4 linked regions of the Macaca mulatta genome follow. The protein of the gene in region 2 interacts with the protein of the main gene of each other region in a pairwise test. Links are inferred from orthologs where the notes say so. Each region holds a gene or a part of one and is shown on either strand. Other genes may lie near its edges.

Region 1 (3,563 bases), on a different chromosome or scaffold from region 2:
GCTATGCTACAAATTCCCCGAAGGCAGAGCTTTTTCTTTCTTGGAATTCTATCCTGGACATTAGAAAGTAATATCTACCAATCAGAGCAGCGGCATATACAGGAAAGAAGCAAATGAACCCTGTTTGCATCTAAATACAAGCAGTGCCTTAATAAATATCCTAGACCCAGGGTGCTAGCTTGACAAGGTCATCTTCAGCCCTGGAAGCACTGCCAGCACCATACAGTATACACCCTCCACCCTGCCACAGTGTTCTAGCGCACACACCCTCCTTCCTTCCTGGATCCTTGACCGAGGAATTGCCCCATAAAGCACATGCACAGACCCAGCCACACATTCAGCCTGGCCTGTGCATCACCCACATGTTCAGTGGGTGGGGTGTGCCTTTTCCTCTCCCCCCGCAGACCAGAGTTCCCACCCTTTCGAACTGTAGGCTTTCTCCATGGAACATTCTGAGAGGAAGTCAGTTCACTTATTTGTCCCCCAAAGCTGGTCAAGCCACCATTCTCTGCCACCTCCATATTTTCCCCCTCTGCTCCCAAGCCAGCCCAGTGCTTGTCTCTTCCCGGCATCCCCAGGGATGTTGTGTTTTCTCTTTTCCTCCTGTTCCTGCTCAGCTAATAATAACCCTTACTCTTTCCACCAGGAAGTGGCTCCAAAGTGGCTTCATCCTTTCCTGCCACTTTTCCCAATTGCTATGTAGCCTGGTGGGGGAGCGGGGGGAGGGGAAGGGCCCTCTTTTTCTAGACCTCGTTGCCTCCCATGGTCCCTACCCCCAGCCCAAAGTCTCTATCTTCTTCCTCCTTAGGGGGAAGGGCATTGGACACAGACCACCCCTCTCTGTCACCTTGAACCCTGTCATGCAGATGGTGAACATGCACATGGAGAAGGTGGCCCGAAGGGAGATCGGCACCTTAGCCACTGTCCAGCGGCTGCCCCCAGGCCAGAAGGTCATCGCCCCAGAGAGCCTACCCCCTCTCACGCCCTACTGCAGGAGACCCCTCAACTTTGGCTGCCTGGACGACATTGGCCATGGGATCAAGGTAGAGAGAGGGACCCTCTTCTTTCCCTCCAACCCACCCTCTCGTGCCTTGTGGCCCTTTTCCCTCCAGACCCCCAGTTCTCCTGCACATTTTGTCCCAACTTGCCACTGCTTTCTTTCCCCACTCCCTGAAGCCACCACTCTGAGCTCTTCTCCCTCTCCCTAGATTTTGTAATCCCTCCCTCCAAAACTGGTCTGTACCGTCCTCAGAGGATCTGCTGAGTGTGAGATCCTGAGCACCCCTCGCCCCCCCGCCCTGCCCCTGTGCCACCGGGCATGTGGGAAGGGGAAGAGGGGGAAGGGAGGATGTCAGGGTGTGCATGAGAATGGCTCCCAGCCACATGAGAACAGCAACTTCCTCTGTCTGGGGGTTTGAGGTCACTGCACTGAGCAGTCACCCCACAGCTGCTTTGGTGAGAAGAAGCGGGGATGCAGCCACACAAAGGGGACTTGGTGAAGAGAGGGGAGCATGGCGCTGGCGTCTTCTCAGCCCACGTCCTTCTGCGAGGTCGGAGAGGGCACGCACTCACACCCGTCCCGTCTTCAATTCCTGTCTCCACACCTTGACATTTCTGTATTGAAATGAACCCCTTGATATCCTGAACTTATCAGCCACCCTTAAAGGGGAAACCACACTCTCCCCTTCAACCACCAGGCCTCCTCCCCACCAGTAAGGTCTCTGTTGTCCAACTTATATTCTTTTTTTTTTTTTTTTGAGATGGAGTTTCACTCTTGTTGTCCAGGTTGGATTGCAATGGCGTGATCTTGGCTCACTGCAACCTCCACCTCCTGGGTTCAAGTGATTCTCCTGCCTCAGCCACCCGAGTAGCTGGGATTACAGGTGCCTGCCACCATGCCTGGCTAATTTTTTTTTTTTTTTTTTTTTTTGTATTTTTAGTAGAGATGGAGTTTCTCCATGTTGGCCAGGCTGGTTTTGAACTCCTGAACTCAGGTGATCTGCTTGCCTCAGCCACCCAAAGTGCTGGGATTACAGGCGTGAACCACCGCTCCCAGCCCAACTTATATTCTTTGTGCTTCAGCTCAAATCCCTTTCGTCTTGCCCCTGGTGAAGCCTATGAGGTAACACTGTACCCACCCCTTGGGGAAGTCCCATTGGTAACAGAAGTTCCCTCTTTCATGTGGGTGTGCGCCCTGTCATTTGCACATCCCCTCTAAGTGGCCTGGGTCCTGCTCCTCTCTGCCCTAACTCCCCAAAGCCAATTCCACAAATCTTCGAAAATGACAGGTGGGACACTTCTAAGTGTGATGTGTCCTCTCCTTTCCCCACCGCCTCCTCAGCCCAATCAAAGTTAGGGACTACTAAGCCAGGGCCTCAGCTTCCTGGGCTCTGAGATGGTTTGGAGGAGGGACAGGGGTGCCGGGCCCACTCAATCCGCTGTGGCTGTGCAGAGGAAGTGGCTGTCGGCTTTGGTAGAATTGAGTCCCAGAACCCAGGCAATGACAAGGGGGTAGCTTGGGGGAAGTGTAGGAGAGGGCCCTGAGAAGTGGAAGTGGGAACTGGCCATGCTGGGCTCTCCCTCCCGGTTCTCGTCCGCCCCTCCTCCATTTCCTCTTGGGGATGAGGGTGGGGAGCGGCCTCTCACCCCAAATGTCAGCCCTACCTCCCGCTCCCTCGCAGGACCTCAGCACGCAGCTGTCAAGGACAGGCACCCTGTCTCGAAAGAGCATCAAGGCCCCTGCCACACCCGCCTCCGCCACATTGGGGTGAGGCCTCGCCAACTAGCCTAGCCCTACCCCGCGCGACCCTGAAACTCTCCTCCCCCAGCCTCGCCACCCACCCCTGGCGCCTGGGTGCTCAGGCCGTCATGCTGGATGCCTGGCGCCAAACCTCCCCCTCGGCCACATGCCTTTCCTGCTCACACCCGACCCCTGCTGGCCAGAAGCCTTCCTCCTTCCTCCTAATACCCACTCCCCGACCCCCGCCAGGAGACCACCCCGGATTCCCGAGCCAGTGCACCTCCCGGTGGTACCCGACGGCAGACTCTCCGCCGCCTCCTCCGCCTCTTCCCTGGCCTCGGCAGGGTGAGACCTACAAGCCTGCGTGGGAGGGTGAGGGGTGGGAGGTGGCTTTCGAGAGGGGCCTCCTGCCAATGGTCATAGTGACTCCTGGGCTTGAAAGGACCCAGTTAGTCCTGGGTCACACGTGCAGGGCTGGGTTCAGGATTGGAGGGGTGGGGCCAGCTGGGGATGCTGCATTAGGGAAGGCGTGTCGCCAACCGGGCCGAGCCCCGCTTTCTCTGGTGTTCAGCAGCGCCGAAGGTGTCGGTGGGGCCTCCATGCCCAAGGGGCAGGCAGCACCTCCAGCCCCACCTCTCCCCAACTCCTTGGACCCACCTCCTCCACCAGCAGCCGTCGAGGTGTTCCAGCGGCCTCCCCCGCTAGAGGAGTTGTCCCCACCCCCACCGGGTAAGGAGCTCCGCCCCCTTCTTCTTCCCAACCGTGGGGTCGCTTTTCCGCCTCCTGCCATTCCCCAGCCCACCTCTCTTGGATCTGCCCCAGC
Region 2 (3,992 bases):
AAATCCATGACCAGAGGGCAGAATTCTTCTTTCCTAAGCCATAAAAGTCCTTTAAGGACCAGTACGGTCGTTCTGAATTTTTTGTCTGTGATTTCTAACACAGTGCATGCTTCTTAGTGAGTTCTCAGTAGATTTTGAAAGAAAGATTGAACTGGATTTTATCTTCATGAGAACCCTGTTGGAGATAGGCAAAGTAAGTATAACTAACCCCATTTTACAGTTGAGGCCACCCATTTAATGAACAAGTGACAAAGCCAAGTTCTCAGTGTTCCTCAAATGTTTTCCTTTCAGGCTCTAAATTGCTGACTTAAATGTCCTCATTAGAGAGAGCTGTCTGCTCGGTAGAAGTACAAATTTTGTTCCAGAGTCAAATATTAAGACTTGATCGGCGGCCTGGCATGGTGGCTCATGCCTGTAATCCCAGCACTTTGGGAAGCCGAGGCAGGCGGATCACCTGAGGTCGGGAGTTTGAGACCAGCCTGACCAACATGGAGAAACCCTGTCTCTACTAAAAACACAAAATTACCTGGGCATGGTGGCACATGCCTATAATCCCAGCTACTCAGGAGGCTGAGGCAGGAGAATCGCTTGAACCTTGGAGGCGGTGGTTGCGGTGAGCCAAGATCGTGCCATTGCACTCCAGCCTGGGCGATGGGAGTGAAATTCTGTCTCAAAAAAAAAAGATCAGCTTATAGTCTTTATCATCTAGTCTTCTATTCTCTGGAGAGTCAGCGGGGACTCTTGCGAGTTCTTGTAGCCTTTTCTTAAGGCCTATAGGAAGTCGTCTGTGCTGAGCCTGCACTTTCTATAACAGATGGAAAACCGAGGCCCAGACCTCTTAAATGGCATTGACTTAGACAGACTATAGAGCTAGTTCGTCGGGGGCCAGCACCACGACCTGGCCCCTACCTCCAGCAGGCATCACCCACCCTTGCACCCTTGCAGGAAGTGCTTAGAGGCTTGAGGTTGCCAGCCGTGGAGGTGTCAGGCCTGTGAAGTGCCTCTCAGCCACCCACGCTGGTAGGGCTCTGCACTGCTAGCTTCTTGTTTCTCTATTTTCTACCTAGGTTTCAGTTTTTCACTTGGGTTTGTTTCCCCTTTGTCTCTGGTTCAGCTTCCTTTTCCTGTTTGGTTTTAAGTAGTCTATAAAAATCAAGTTGCTGTCTTCAGAGAGTCTGTGGTCCTCTGATCAGCATAGCCCAGTGGGAGTACCGGACTCACCTCCTCAGGGTTCCCTGTGCTGCCACTTTTCAGCCATGGCCACAAGGTGAGTACTGAAACCAATACAGGGAACAGAGGGATGTCAAGAGGAAACCTAGAATCTTACTGGTGAATGGGCTGTGGAAATCATCTCATGACCCCTCAGTATACTGATCAAGAAATCCATGACCAGAGGGCAGGGGACTTACATGAGGTTACACAGCACGTTGGTGACAATCTGCTCACTCTCCAGCCGCTGGTCTTTCCATTACACAGGCCTGTGTCTCTTGATGCCTGTGACCCTTAATGGCTTCTGGATGAAGGATTTACTCAGAAATTAGCCCCTACCTCAGATTATAGGGAGGAGGGTCTGAGCCATCTAGGGGATTGTTGTTTAGCTCAGAGGTACATTTTGATGAGTCCTGGCTCTTCTCTCTAGAATGACCTGAGACTGGTTGTTTTATCTAAATATAGACAGAGAGAGTTATTTTTATTATAGGAACTTCATGAACTTAATAGCAAGAATCCTGACCCTCCACTTGTGAGACTTGTGACCTTAGGCTGTTGCTGTTTAGCACATGTGTGAGTGCCAGCCAGTCTACAAACTGCACTCCTCATTGAGATTGTTCTTTCTAAAGGGGAGATTACATGTTGGACCTGCCTCTCCCCTGCCATACAACTCTGAAAGATTATAGATGATAGGACAGACAGACTTTTAACCTGTGGGGTTTGGGGCATTTGTTTGGTTGACTCATGACAGCTTTGTTTTTTAGCATAAAGTAATGGTCCCTCACTTTGAAAATTATTTCACAATTTTCAAAGTGCCATTTCACCAGTTTTCTTATTTGAATCTTTTAATCGTGTTAGATCGATGAGAACGCCGTCATCACTCCTGTTTCATAGCTGAGAAAACCTCTGAAAAGTTGTGGGGCTTGTCCGAGGTCACATGGCAGGTGGAGGAAGGAATGGAACCAGGGTTTAACAAGGATGGCCTCGTCCGGTGGTTTTCGCAGCACGCTACACAGGCTCTTGAGAAGCAGTTTGCAGTGAGTTGTTAAAATTGACATGGTGGTAGGTAGAACTTGTCCAGGGCTGCTTATTTTCCAGTGGGCTTTATTTCTGCTCCTATCATTTTAGTAACTTTCTTTTAACTTTAGAGGACTTGTGAATGGAACTTCTGAAAACAGAATACTTTTCATTTCAAAGGCATATCAACTTCCAAAGTCATTTTTAGTTGTAAATTACATTGTGAAAAATTCCAGCAGCTTATTCTACCCTGCCAATTACTAATTGCAGAAAATTATATCAGAAGTAAATGGGGAGGAGGCACATCAATCTCTTTTTCAGTTTTAAAATCGTAGAAATCTAGAAGTTTCCATCTTGAAAAGACCTTGGAGATGATCTACAGTAGTTTACCTAGGTTAGTGGTGCTTTGGGCATCTTATCCTCTACTTCAGCCAAAATAACTCTACTTTTGTCTTTTTTTTTTTTTTTTTTTTGAGATGGAGTCTCACTCTGTCACCCAGGCTGGAGTGCAGTGGCCGGATCTCAGCTCACTGCAAGCTCCGCCTCCCGGGTTCACACCATTCTCCGGCCTCAGCCTCCCGAGTAGCTGGGACTACAGGCGCCCGCCGCCTCGCCCAGCTAGTTTTTTGCATTTTTTAGTAGAGACGGGGTTTCACCGTGGTAGCCAGGATGGTCTCGATCTCCTGCCCTCGTGATCTGCCCGTCTCGGCCTCCCAAAGTGCTGGGATTACAGGCTTGAGTACTTTTGTCTTTTTAATGTATTCCTTGATAATTAATTGAGGGAAAAAAAGTCATATTGTTGGTGGTGGTGATGATTTTCAAGTCTGAAGATTACACTAATCTAGTCCAGCTCCTGAGTGCACAGATCAGGAAATTGAGGCCCAGTGTGGAGCAGAGTTTGTCTACGGGGAGCAGAGTAGTGGCTGAACCAAAGCAAAAGCCCAGGTTTTCTGGAGCATCCCTTCCCCGTACAAGGCTGCTTGTACTCTGCCACAGGTCCCTGGCCTGGCCCCGTAGTGACAGTCCTGGTGGAAGCAGCGTTCATGGAGCTGCAAGGTCAGCAGCCATAGGAGCTGTGAACTTTTTGTTTTTCCTCATGCTGACTGACATATGGGGATACCACGGCGCCTGTGGTGGGGATACAAAGGGCCTTTTTAATGTGCAAATATATCTTACTAGCTCTAGCTCTGACTACTCACCAATCAAGAAACGTTTTCCAAGCCCTAACTGGATTAGGAGCTAGGAATTTTCTTGAGTGCATGACAACGTACAGAATGCTTTCACTGACATTATTTTATTTAATTACTGCAATAATCCTGAAGGTAGCATTGTGGGGTGTTTTTGTTTTTGTATTTTTTAGAGATGAGGTCTTGCCATATTGCCCAGGCTGGCCTCAAACTCCCAAGCTCGAGCAAGCCTCCTGCCTCAGTGGGACTACAGGTGTGGGCCACCACACCCAGCTAGCATTGTTTTTATTGTTTCTGTTTCATAGAAGGAGAGAGTAACTTGACAAGAGACATAGCCAGTGAGTGATAGACCCAGGACTTGAACCTGTGCCTCCTGACCACAGATGCTTTGCCCTTTTGCTCTTACGCCTGAGTTGGAGCGGCCTCTGTCTTCAGGGACTGGTCGGGAGTGAGGAAGGCAGCACTCACAGAAATGAGGAGGCGACTCGCTGTAAGGACCCTGTAGCATAGACAGTAATAAGCATAAACAGGAGGGGCAGTAAGAGTTGAGAAGTTGGGGACTGTCAGGGAAGACCTTAA
Region 3 (3,563 bases), on a different chromosome or scaffold from region 2:
GGCTCTCCACTCTGGCGCTGGAGCCTGTGAAGAGGGAATGATAACCCTTCCCCAGTGCCCACGTGTACAATCCTGTAAGCTGCTTCCACTCTGAGTCCAAAGGGTTCCACGGACATCAAGTACTCACAACCCGAGAGTTTTTACTTTTAGGGAAATTTGATTTGGGGGGGTACAAATTTTAAATGTATACATCTGCTTACAGGCTGGTACTTGTTTCCTTTTTCTGGTCTATGATTAAGAGAAAGAATACCCGGCATTCCTCAGAAATATCTCACCCTTCCACAGTGACAGATGTGTTACCTTTCCAAACCCTAGGCTTTCCTACGGTTGAGCTTGAGAAGAGTAGTCAGGCCAAACCCATGGTATCCCAAATGGATTCAAGAACCCTGAATGCGGCCGGGCGCGGTGGCTCACGCCTGTAATCCCAGCACTTTGGGAGGCCGAGATGGGCGGATCATGAGGTCAGGAGATCGAGACCATCCTGGCTAACACGGTGAAACCCCGTCTCTACTAAAAATACAAAAATTAGCCGGGCACGGTGACAGGCGCCTGTAGTCCCAGCCACACGGGAGGCTGAGGCAGGAGAATGGCGTGAACCCAGGAGGCGGAGCTTGCAGTGAGTGGAGATTGCACCACCGCACTCCAGCCTGGGCGACAGAGCGAGACTCCGTCTCAAAAAAAAAAAAAAAACACAAGAACCCTGAATGCTTCACTTTATTACTTTATATCGTATTTTTAAAAACACCAAAATGTGGTTGGTAGGGAAGGATACTTTTAAAGAAATGTCTCTAAGCTGGATGCAGTGGCATCTGCCTGTAGACCCAGCTACTCTACCCAGACCCAGGCTGACAAGACGGGATCACTTGAGACCAGCCTGGGTAACATAGCAAGACCCTGTCTCAAAAAAGAAAAAAAGAAATGTCTTCAGTCTAAAGCCAGGAACAAACTCTTAAGCCCTGAAAATTATGTTTATGTACAAGAATGCTTAACAGCCTCATGAACATCTGAAATACCAAATTTTCAAGCAGTTAGGGTAGATGAGTACATGGATAAAGCTACCACAAAGTTACAGCCAAACTATTTATTAACATCAGAGTGGTGATTTGCTAAGATACGTCAAGGAACCAACCCCAGGGTAACTAGTTGGAGAAGCCAGAAGTTGTGTACAAATCCAGTCTCTTCTCTTCCTTGTTTAGGAGCAGCACCCTGAGGAGGAACTGATCAAGACTAAGCAGGATGAAGTCAATGCAGCCTGGCAGCGGCTGAAGGGCTTGGCTCTGCAGAGGCAGGGGAAGCTCTTTGGGGCAGCTGAAGTTCAGCGCTTTAACAGGTGTCAAGCCAGAGTGGGCTTTGGGGAATGGGCCTCAACCTGGAGGGGAGTTGTGAAGCACAGGGCATGTGCTGGTGAGCTGTCAGGGCTGACTGGGCCTTGGTCCCATGGAGTGTTCCTAGTTCTAGGGAGATGTCATTGCTGTGGATTAACTGGTGCCTTTGTTCTGTAGGGATGTGGATGAGACTATCAGTTGGATTAAGGAAAAGGAGCAGTTAATGGCCTCTGATGATTTTGGCCGAGACCTGGCAAGTGTTCAGGCTCTGCTTCGGAAGCACGAGGGTCTAGAGAGAGATCTTGCTGCTCTAGAAGACAAGGTGGGTTTTACAAGCAGCTGATTCTGTAAATAAGTTACCAAGGGTCAGGAGAATAGTTCTGACGGAGTTCATTTCTAGGTCAAAGCCCTGTGTGCTGAGGCTGACCGCCTGCAACAGTCCCACCCTCTGAGTGCAACACAGATTCAAGTGAAGCGAGAGGAACTGATTACAAACTGGGAGCAGATCCGCACCTTGGCGGCAGAGAGACATGCACGGCTCAATGATTCATACAGGTGCAAATAATGCTCCAGGTCTTAACCAGTATCATTTAACTTCTTTTTAGGAAGCAGGAATAGCAGAGTTAAGGGTCTGTTCTGTGTTCTGTGGAAGTGTCAGGTATCACCTACCAATGCAAATCACTTCTTACCTATGTTCTCTCTGTTTGGAGACTGGCAACTGTATCATGTGTAGTATGTGTATGCTATTTACAACTTCATAAATTCTTCTATTCTGCATCACTGCATTATGACTGATAGAATGGAAATATCCCCTTAAGTATCTGAGTATCACATTAAATACCTTATTACAACCAGATTGGAAAGGAAAAGAATGCTTCTTACTAGCCAAGGGTTGAACCTGGGAATAACAAGGAAGTTGGAAATGTGGGACAGGATTGGGGCTTTATAGTGATGGACAGAACCTAAGTTTTAAAGCGTTGATTTCAGCCTTCTCTTGCTTTCCTTCACAGTCTAGATTGGTAGAATTTCATATTTCCCAGAACTAGAGTTTGTATAATTTGTTAGACATTTGAGAACATAGAATTCGGAGCTTTAGGGAGGCCATTTTCCACCCTGGAACCTCTGCTGGAAACATAATGTCTTCCTTTGGCTTTTCCTAGGCTTCAACGCTTCCTTGCTGACTTCCGTGACCTCACCAGCTGGGTGACTGAGATGAAAGCCCTCATCAATGCAGATGAGCTTGCCAATGATGTGGCTGGGGCTGAAGCCCTGCTAGATAGACACCAAGAGCACAAGGTAATAGTATCTCCAGCATCTTCCAGAAGTGAAGATTTTAGCTTATAATGCAACAGTATATCAATGTTGGGTGAGGCCTGTAGTTGGAGTTGGTACCACGTTATTCACAGGTGTCTCTCATCATAAGGATTGTGGTTGGTTTTGCCTTTGGAGACCTGGTCTACCTGCTTCTGATAGAGGCTTAACTCAGTTCAGTGTGAAGAAGTTCACTGTGGTCCATAAAAGCAAACAGCAGACAAGCTCTGGCGAGATAGAAGTGCTGCTACTTGGCACGTTGATCCTTTGTGATGTAAAAAGTATTTGTTGGGCTGAGCACAGTGGCTTATGCCTATGATCCCAGCACTTTGGAAGGCCAAGGCAGGTGGATCACAAAGTCAAGAGATCAAGACCATCCTTGCCAACATGATGAAACCCTGTCTCTACTAAAAGTACAAAAATTAGCTGGCCTTGGTGGCACATGCCTGTAGTCCCAGTTACTCAGGAGTCTGAGGCAGGGGAATCGCTTGAACCCGGGAGGCAGAGGTTGCAGTGAGCCATGATCGCACTATTCTACTACTGCCTGGACAACAAGAGTGAAACTCCGTCTCTCAAAAAAAAAAAAAAAAAAAACTGAGAGGTTTTAATGTGCTAGATACAAAATCAATATACTGAAAGTCAAACGTTTCTCTACACTAGCAACAGAAACGTAATTTTTAAAAATACTACTTATTAGAGCAGAAAATATAAAGTACTTAGGAATAAATCTAACAAAAGTGTGTAAGACATTTGTGGAAAAAACTATAAAACTTTGTTAAAAGGCATTAAATAAAAACTGAATAGAGAGAATTATTTATCTAGTGCACAGATAGAACGATCTTTTGTGAAGGTATAAATTCCCACCAGGATATATACAGTTAATTCAGTTCTAGTCAAGTGCTCAGCAGGTATATGTGTATGTGTGTG
Region 4 (4,141 bases), about 49 Mb from region 2:
CAGCTATGTACTATTTCAAATGTTACTACCTCAGAATGTCACTTGACTCAAAGATTTTCCTTTCCTTTTCTTCTTCCTCCCTCCCTTTCTTCCCTTCCTTCCGCCTTTCCTTTTTCCCCTCTCTTCCTTCCTCCCTCCCTCCCTCCTTTTACAGGGACTAACACTAGAACCACCGCCTCACCACGCCCCTCATTGGAGGAAACAGAAAGGCACACCATGCTGTAAGCTATGGCAGATGCTCAGGGCACGTGGGGTTGAATAATGCTGTTTGGAGTCAAACACTGAGACTCCGCAGCCACACAGTGATTCATTTACAGAGCTTTACTAAACTACGGGCACTCAGAAATAGACAAACTATTCTTGCCTCAATAAAACCAAAGGCCTTGCGGGCCTCGTGAAAGCTCAAGCCAGGTGCTTTGGGAGGCCGGGAGGAGGAAGAGAGATCCGTGGAAGGAAGCACGTTCACACCATGTCACTGAGGCCTCCGGGCCGAGGTATAATTTAAAGCATGAAACGAAGGGGTCATAGATTCTGACTAATGCTGACCATTTCCATCGGTTACCCAGCTGAATCTTATGGCGACACTAGGAAATCGACTTTATACATGCTCTTTAGGAAACGAGGGACGCAGGATGAAAGAAGTCAAGAGTGTCGCCAGGGCTTGCACCAGCGCCGTCAGACTCCCGCGATGGGGGAGCTCCAGGGCACGGAGTCAGCGGATTTACTGAGACGGAGAAAAGCCCCACTGCCGTGCAGAAGCCTAGGCCCGGGTGAGGCGCCTGCGAAGGCTGCCAACAGCGGAAGAGAAGGGGCGTCCTCCGTGTTGCGCAGCATGCGCCCGCGGTAGGTGGGCGCGGAGCTCAGAGCTGGGAGCCAAACGCAAACGCTGGCGAGAAGCCCCAGCCCCCTCCGCCAGCCCACTCGCTGCGGGGAGGGGTTTCTCACGCCCTCAGCTCCTGGGAGACTGCACCGGAGGTCGGAAGGAAGCGGAGCGAGGATGAGTCATCCCGCCTAATTCCTCCTTCCCGGTCCCCCTAGCCTCCGCACGCCGGCCCCCTCCAGAGATCATGCAACCGCGAGCGAAGACTCCCCTATATTCAGACTCTACCGAACCCCCTGCGGCCTGCGGAGACGAGGAGACGGACGGGTCTCGTGGCCAATGAGAGCTTCGATCTCGTGCCCGCCGCCCAATGGGCCGCGGCTCATGGGCCGGGGCGGGACTAGGAGGGCAGGAGGGGGCGGTCCGGGCTGGCGCGCGGCGCGGCGGCTCCGCTGCAGCGACTCACAGAGCTAGCGCCTCTCCGGGTGTCCTCGCCAGCACTGCGCGGGAAGGCGCCACCACCACCGCCGCCGCCGCCGCTGGCCAGGGTGCTGGACAAGACGGGCCCGTCGACCACCTAGCCAGCTCAGGCACCCGCTGCAGCTGTCGCTGCCTCCTCCCAGACCGGTCCCCATGGAGGAGATGGAAGAGGAGTTGAAATGCCCGGTGTGCGGCTCCTTCTATCGGGAGCCCATCATCCTGCCCTGCTCTCACAATTTGTGCCAGGCGTGCGCCCGCAACATCCTGGTGCAGACCCCGGAGTCTGAGTCCCCCCAGAGTCGTCGGGCCTCGGGCTCCGGGGTCTCCGACTATGACTATCTCGACCTGGACAAGATGAGCCTATACAGCGAGGCGGACAGCGGCTATGGCTCCTACGGGGGTTTCGCCAGCGCCCCCACTACCCCGTGCCAGAAGTCCCCCAACGGCGTCCGCGTGTTTCCCCCGGCTATGCCGCCACCGGCCACCCACCTGTCACCGGCACTGGCCCCGGTGCCCCGCAACTCCTGTATCACCTGCCCCCAGTGTCACCGCAGCCTCATCCTGGATGACCGGGGGCTCCGCGGCTTCCCCAAGAATCGCGTACTGGAAGGGGTAATTGACCGCTACCAGCAGAGCAAAGCTGCGGCCCTCAAGTGCCAGCTCTGTGAGAAGGCGCCCAAGGAGGCCACCGTCATGTGCGAACAGTGCGATGTCTTCTACTGCGATCCGTGCCGCCTGCGCTGCCACCCGCCCCGGGGGCCCCTAGCCAAGCACCGCCTGGTGCCCCCGGCCCAGGGTCGTGTGAGCCGGAGGCTGAGCCCGCGCAAGGTCTCCACCTGCACAGACCACGAGCTGGAGAACCACAGCATGTACTGCGTGCAGTGCAAGATGCCCGTGTGCTACCAGTGCTTGGAGGAGGGCAAACACTCCAGCCACGAAGTCAAGGCTCTGGGGGCCATGTGGAAACTACATAAGGTGAGTCCTGAGAAAAACCCACTCCTAACTCGCTGCGTCTTCCATCATCCGGTTTTGCAGCAGACGGTCCCCGTCTCTTGCGCACAGCGCATCCCAGTGGGGGCGCAATGCAGGTGCCTTCGATGTTTACCTCCCCGGTCTGGTGCATTGCAGGAGGCACGGGGGAATCTTAACCGGCGCACGGGGGACTTGAATGCCCCCACAGAGTTGTTGCGGGGATGTCTTAGAGCGGGTCTCTCGGGGCGCGCTGCCTGCGAGCGGGACGCAGGACGCCCCCTCTCCACGGCTGGTCTGTAGCCAGTGGCCGCGGCCAGTGTGTTGGAAAGCACTGCGTAGCTGGGTAGAGCCGCGCCAGTGCCCGGGGCCGCTAGGCACGCTCGAGGGCAGGGCGGGCTGCGAACCCCCGGGGAGGGACTGGAGTGGGGGCGGTGAGGTCGCGCGGACGGCGGGAGTCTGTCGCTGCTGGATAGGCAGACCTGGTGAGGCACGGCGGAGGGTAGGGGAGACGCCGCGGGCGGAATACTAATGAGCCCGGCTGTGGGCCAGACCTGGCTCTGGAGCTGGAGAGAACGCGGGGTCCTGGTGCCACGTGCTCAAAAGACAGACTGGAGAGGGCAGCCAGCGGTCGCCATGGCAACGCGACGTGCAGACTTGGTCCGGAACCCTTCTGGAGTTGGGACCTGGGACTAGAGTGTAAGGACCGGAATTTGCGAAGTCGCGGCCTGGAAGCCAAGGTGCATCTCCTAGGGAAACCTCCTCCTCCCAACTACACACACACCCACTTCTCCAGAATTCAACCTCTTTCCTCTCAGTAGTTATATGTGCAAATATGTGCAAACTTTGGGACACCTGTTACCAGATTTATCTTTCCAGTCTCTTTTAATGATATTTCCACATGGCTAGACACTAAGAGGCTTTAGCAACATGTTAGGTCGTGCCACTCCTCTGCTCAAAACTCTCCAATTGTTCCTATGCTTCTCAGCCTGTCCTTGGAATGGTCTATGAGGCCCTACATGACCTCTTTTCCATTTTGGCCCCCTCGACCTCATTGCCTCCCACTTACTCCCTCTGCTGTAGCCACACTGCTTCTTGCTGTTCCTCAAGTGACACCAGGCACCTCCCCACCCCAGGGCCCTTGCATTTAGTGTTCATTCAGCCTGAAGCTCTCTTCCCCAGTTACCTGACATCCGAATGAGTCACTTACTTGCATCCTTCAGCTCTTTGCTCAGGTATCATCTTTACAGCACCACCTACCCAGACACCCACTAGTTCCCTCTCAGCTTTGGTTTCCTCAGTAGTATTTATCCTTGTGTGGCATGCTATATATTTTAATTATGTTATTTTTGTATTTATCTATTGCTCCCTGTACACACACAGGCATAAACGAAATAAGCCTCATGAGGAAGATTCTTATAATATGCCCACACTGCTTAGAAGGAAGGGAACCACTCTTGAAGAGATGTGTATGAATTTGCTTTTCATTTTTTTAGATGACCCATTTAGTTGGAGCTGTGGAGTGCAGGGCAGGGATTCAGGATGATTGGAAGGAGCTTTTCTTTACATCACTGAGTTGCATACCCAAGGATGAGATAGAGTAGTGAAGATGGTGCCCAGGCCTCATCTGTGGCCTCACTCAGTCTCCCAGAATACCTTGGAGACTAGAAAGGGTAGCTTTTGCAAGTTGCCAACCCTGGAGTTAAGGCTGAAACATTGATATTTTGTTTACAGCAAGGAAAAAAGTCATTAATTTTCAGCAATCAGTGAAAGTTTTCTCAACTCCTTAACCCAGTTGAATGTGATCCATGTTTACAGTCATTCTATTCTCACATATAACCTATTAAATCATATTAGTACTGATGGAGATTT

What was found.
Region 1: the proteins of EVL (region 2) and ABI3 interact in binary tests that used the Homo sapiens proteins (3 or more experiments, as listed by UniProt). The link is inferred for Macaca mulatta from reciprocal best matches to the Homo sapiens genes EVL and ABI3.
Region 3: the proteins of EVL (region 2) and SPTAN1 interact in binary tests that used the Homo sapiens proteins (3 or more experiments, as listed by UniProt). The link is inferred for Macaca mulatta from reciprocal best matches to the Homo sapiens genes EVL and SPTAN1.
Region 4: the proteins of EVL (region 2) and TRIM9 interact in binary tests that used the Homo sapiens proteins (3 or more experiments, as listed by UniProt). The two-hybrid records come from large-scale screens. The link is inferred for Macaca mulatta from reciprocal best matches to the Homo sapiens genes EVL and TRIM9.

Annotation. Positions count from the first base shown.
Region 1 is NC_133421.1:60,787,984-60,791,546, reverse strand, and holds part of ABI3 (ABI gene family member 3), read left to right. Parts: intron 1-808; coding exon of another isoform or gene 809-866; coding exon 867-1,086; intron 1,087-2,658; coding exon 2,659-2,767; intron 2,768-2,989; coding exon 2,990-3,085; intron 3,086-3,311; coding exon of another isoform or gene 3,312-3,314; coding exon 3,315-3,469; intron 3,470-3,563. UniProt on the Homo sapiens protein: May inhibit tumor metastasis. In vitro, reduces cell motility.
Region 2 is NC_133412.1:173,399,667-173,403,658, forward strand, and holds the start of EVL (ena/VASP-like protein), read left to right. Parts: upstream 1-1,168; 5' UTR 1,169-1,256; coding exon of another isoform or gene 1,257-1,267; intron 1,268-2,067; 5' UTR 2,068-2,187; coding exon 2,188-2,246; exon of another isoform or gene 2,247-2,271; intron 2,272-3,992. UniProt on the Homo sapiens protein: Ena/VASP proteins are actin-associated proteins involved in a range of processes dependent on cytoskeleton remodeling and cell polarity such as axon guidance and lamellipodial and filopodial dynamics in migrating cells.
Region 3 is NC_133420.1:19,091,734-19,095,296, reverse strand, and holds part of SPTAN1 (spectrin alpha chain, non-erythrocytic 1), read left to right. Parts: intron 1-1,196; coding exon 1,197-1,330; intron 1,331-1,502; coding exon 1,503-1,647; intron 1,648-1,725; coding exon 1,726-1,880; intron 1,881-2,485; coding exon 2,486-2,621; intron 2,622-3,563. UniProt on the Homo sapiens protein: Fodrin, which seems to be involved in secretion, interacts with calmodulin in a calcium-dependent manner and is thus candidate for the calcium-dependent movement of the cytoskeleton at the membrane.
Region 4 is NC_133412.1:124,314,410-124,318,550, reverse strand, and holds the start of TRIM9 (E3 ubiquitin-protein ligase TRIM9), read left to right. Parts: upstream 1-1,279; 5' UTR 1,280-1,453; coding exon 1,454-2,275; intron 2,276-4,141. UniProt on the Homo sapiens protein: E3 ubiquitin-protein ligase which ubiquitinates itself in cooperation with an E2 enzyme UBE2D2/UBC4 and serves as a targeting signal for proteasomal degradation.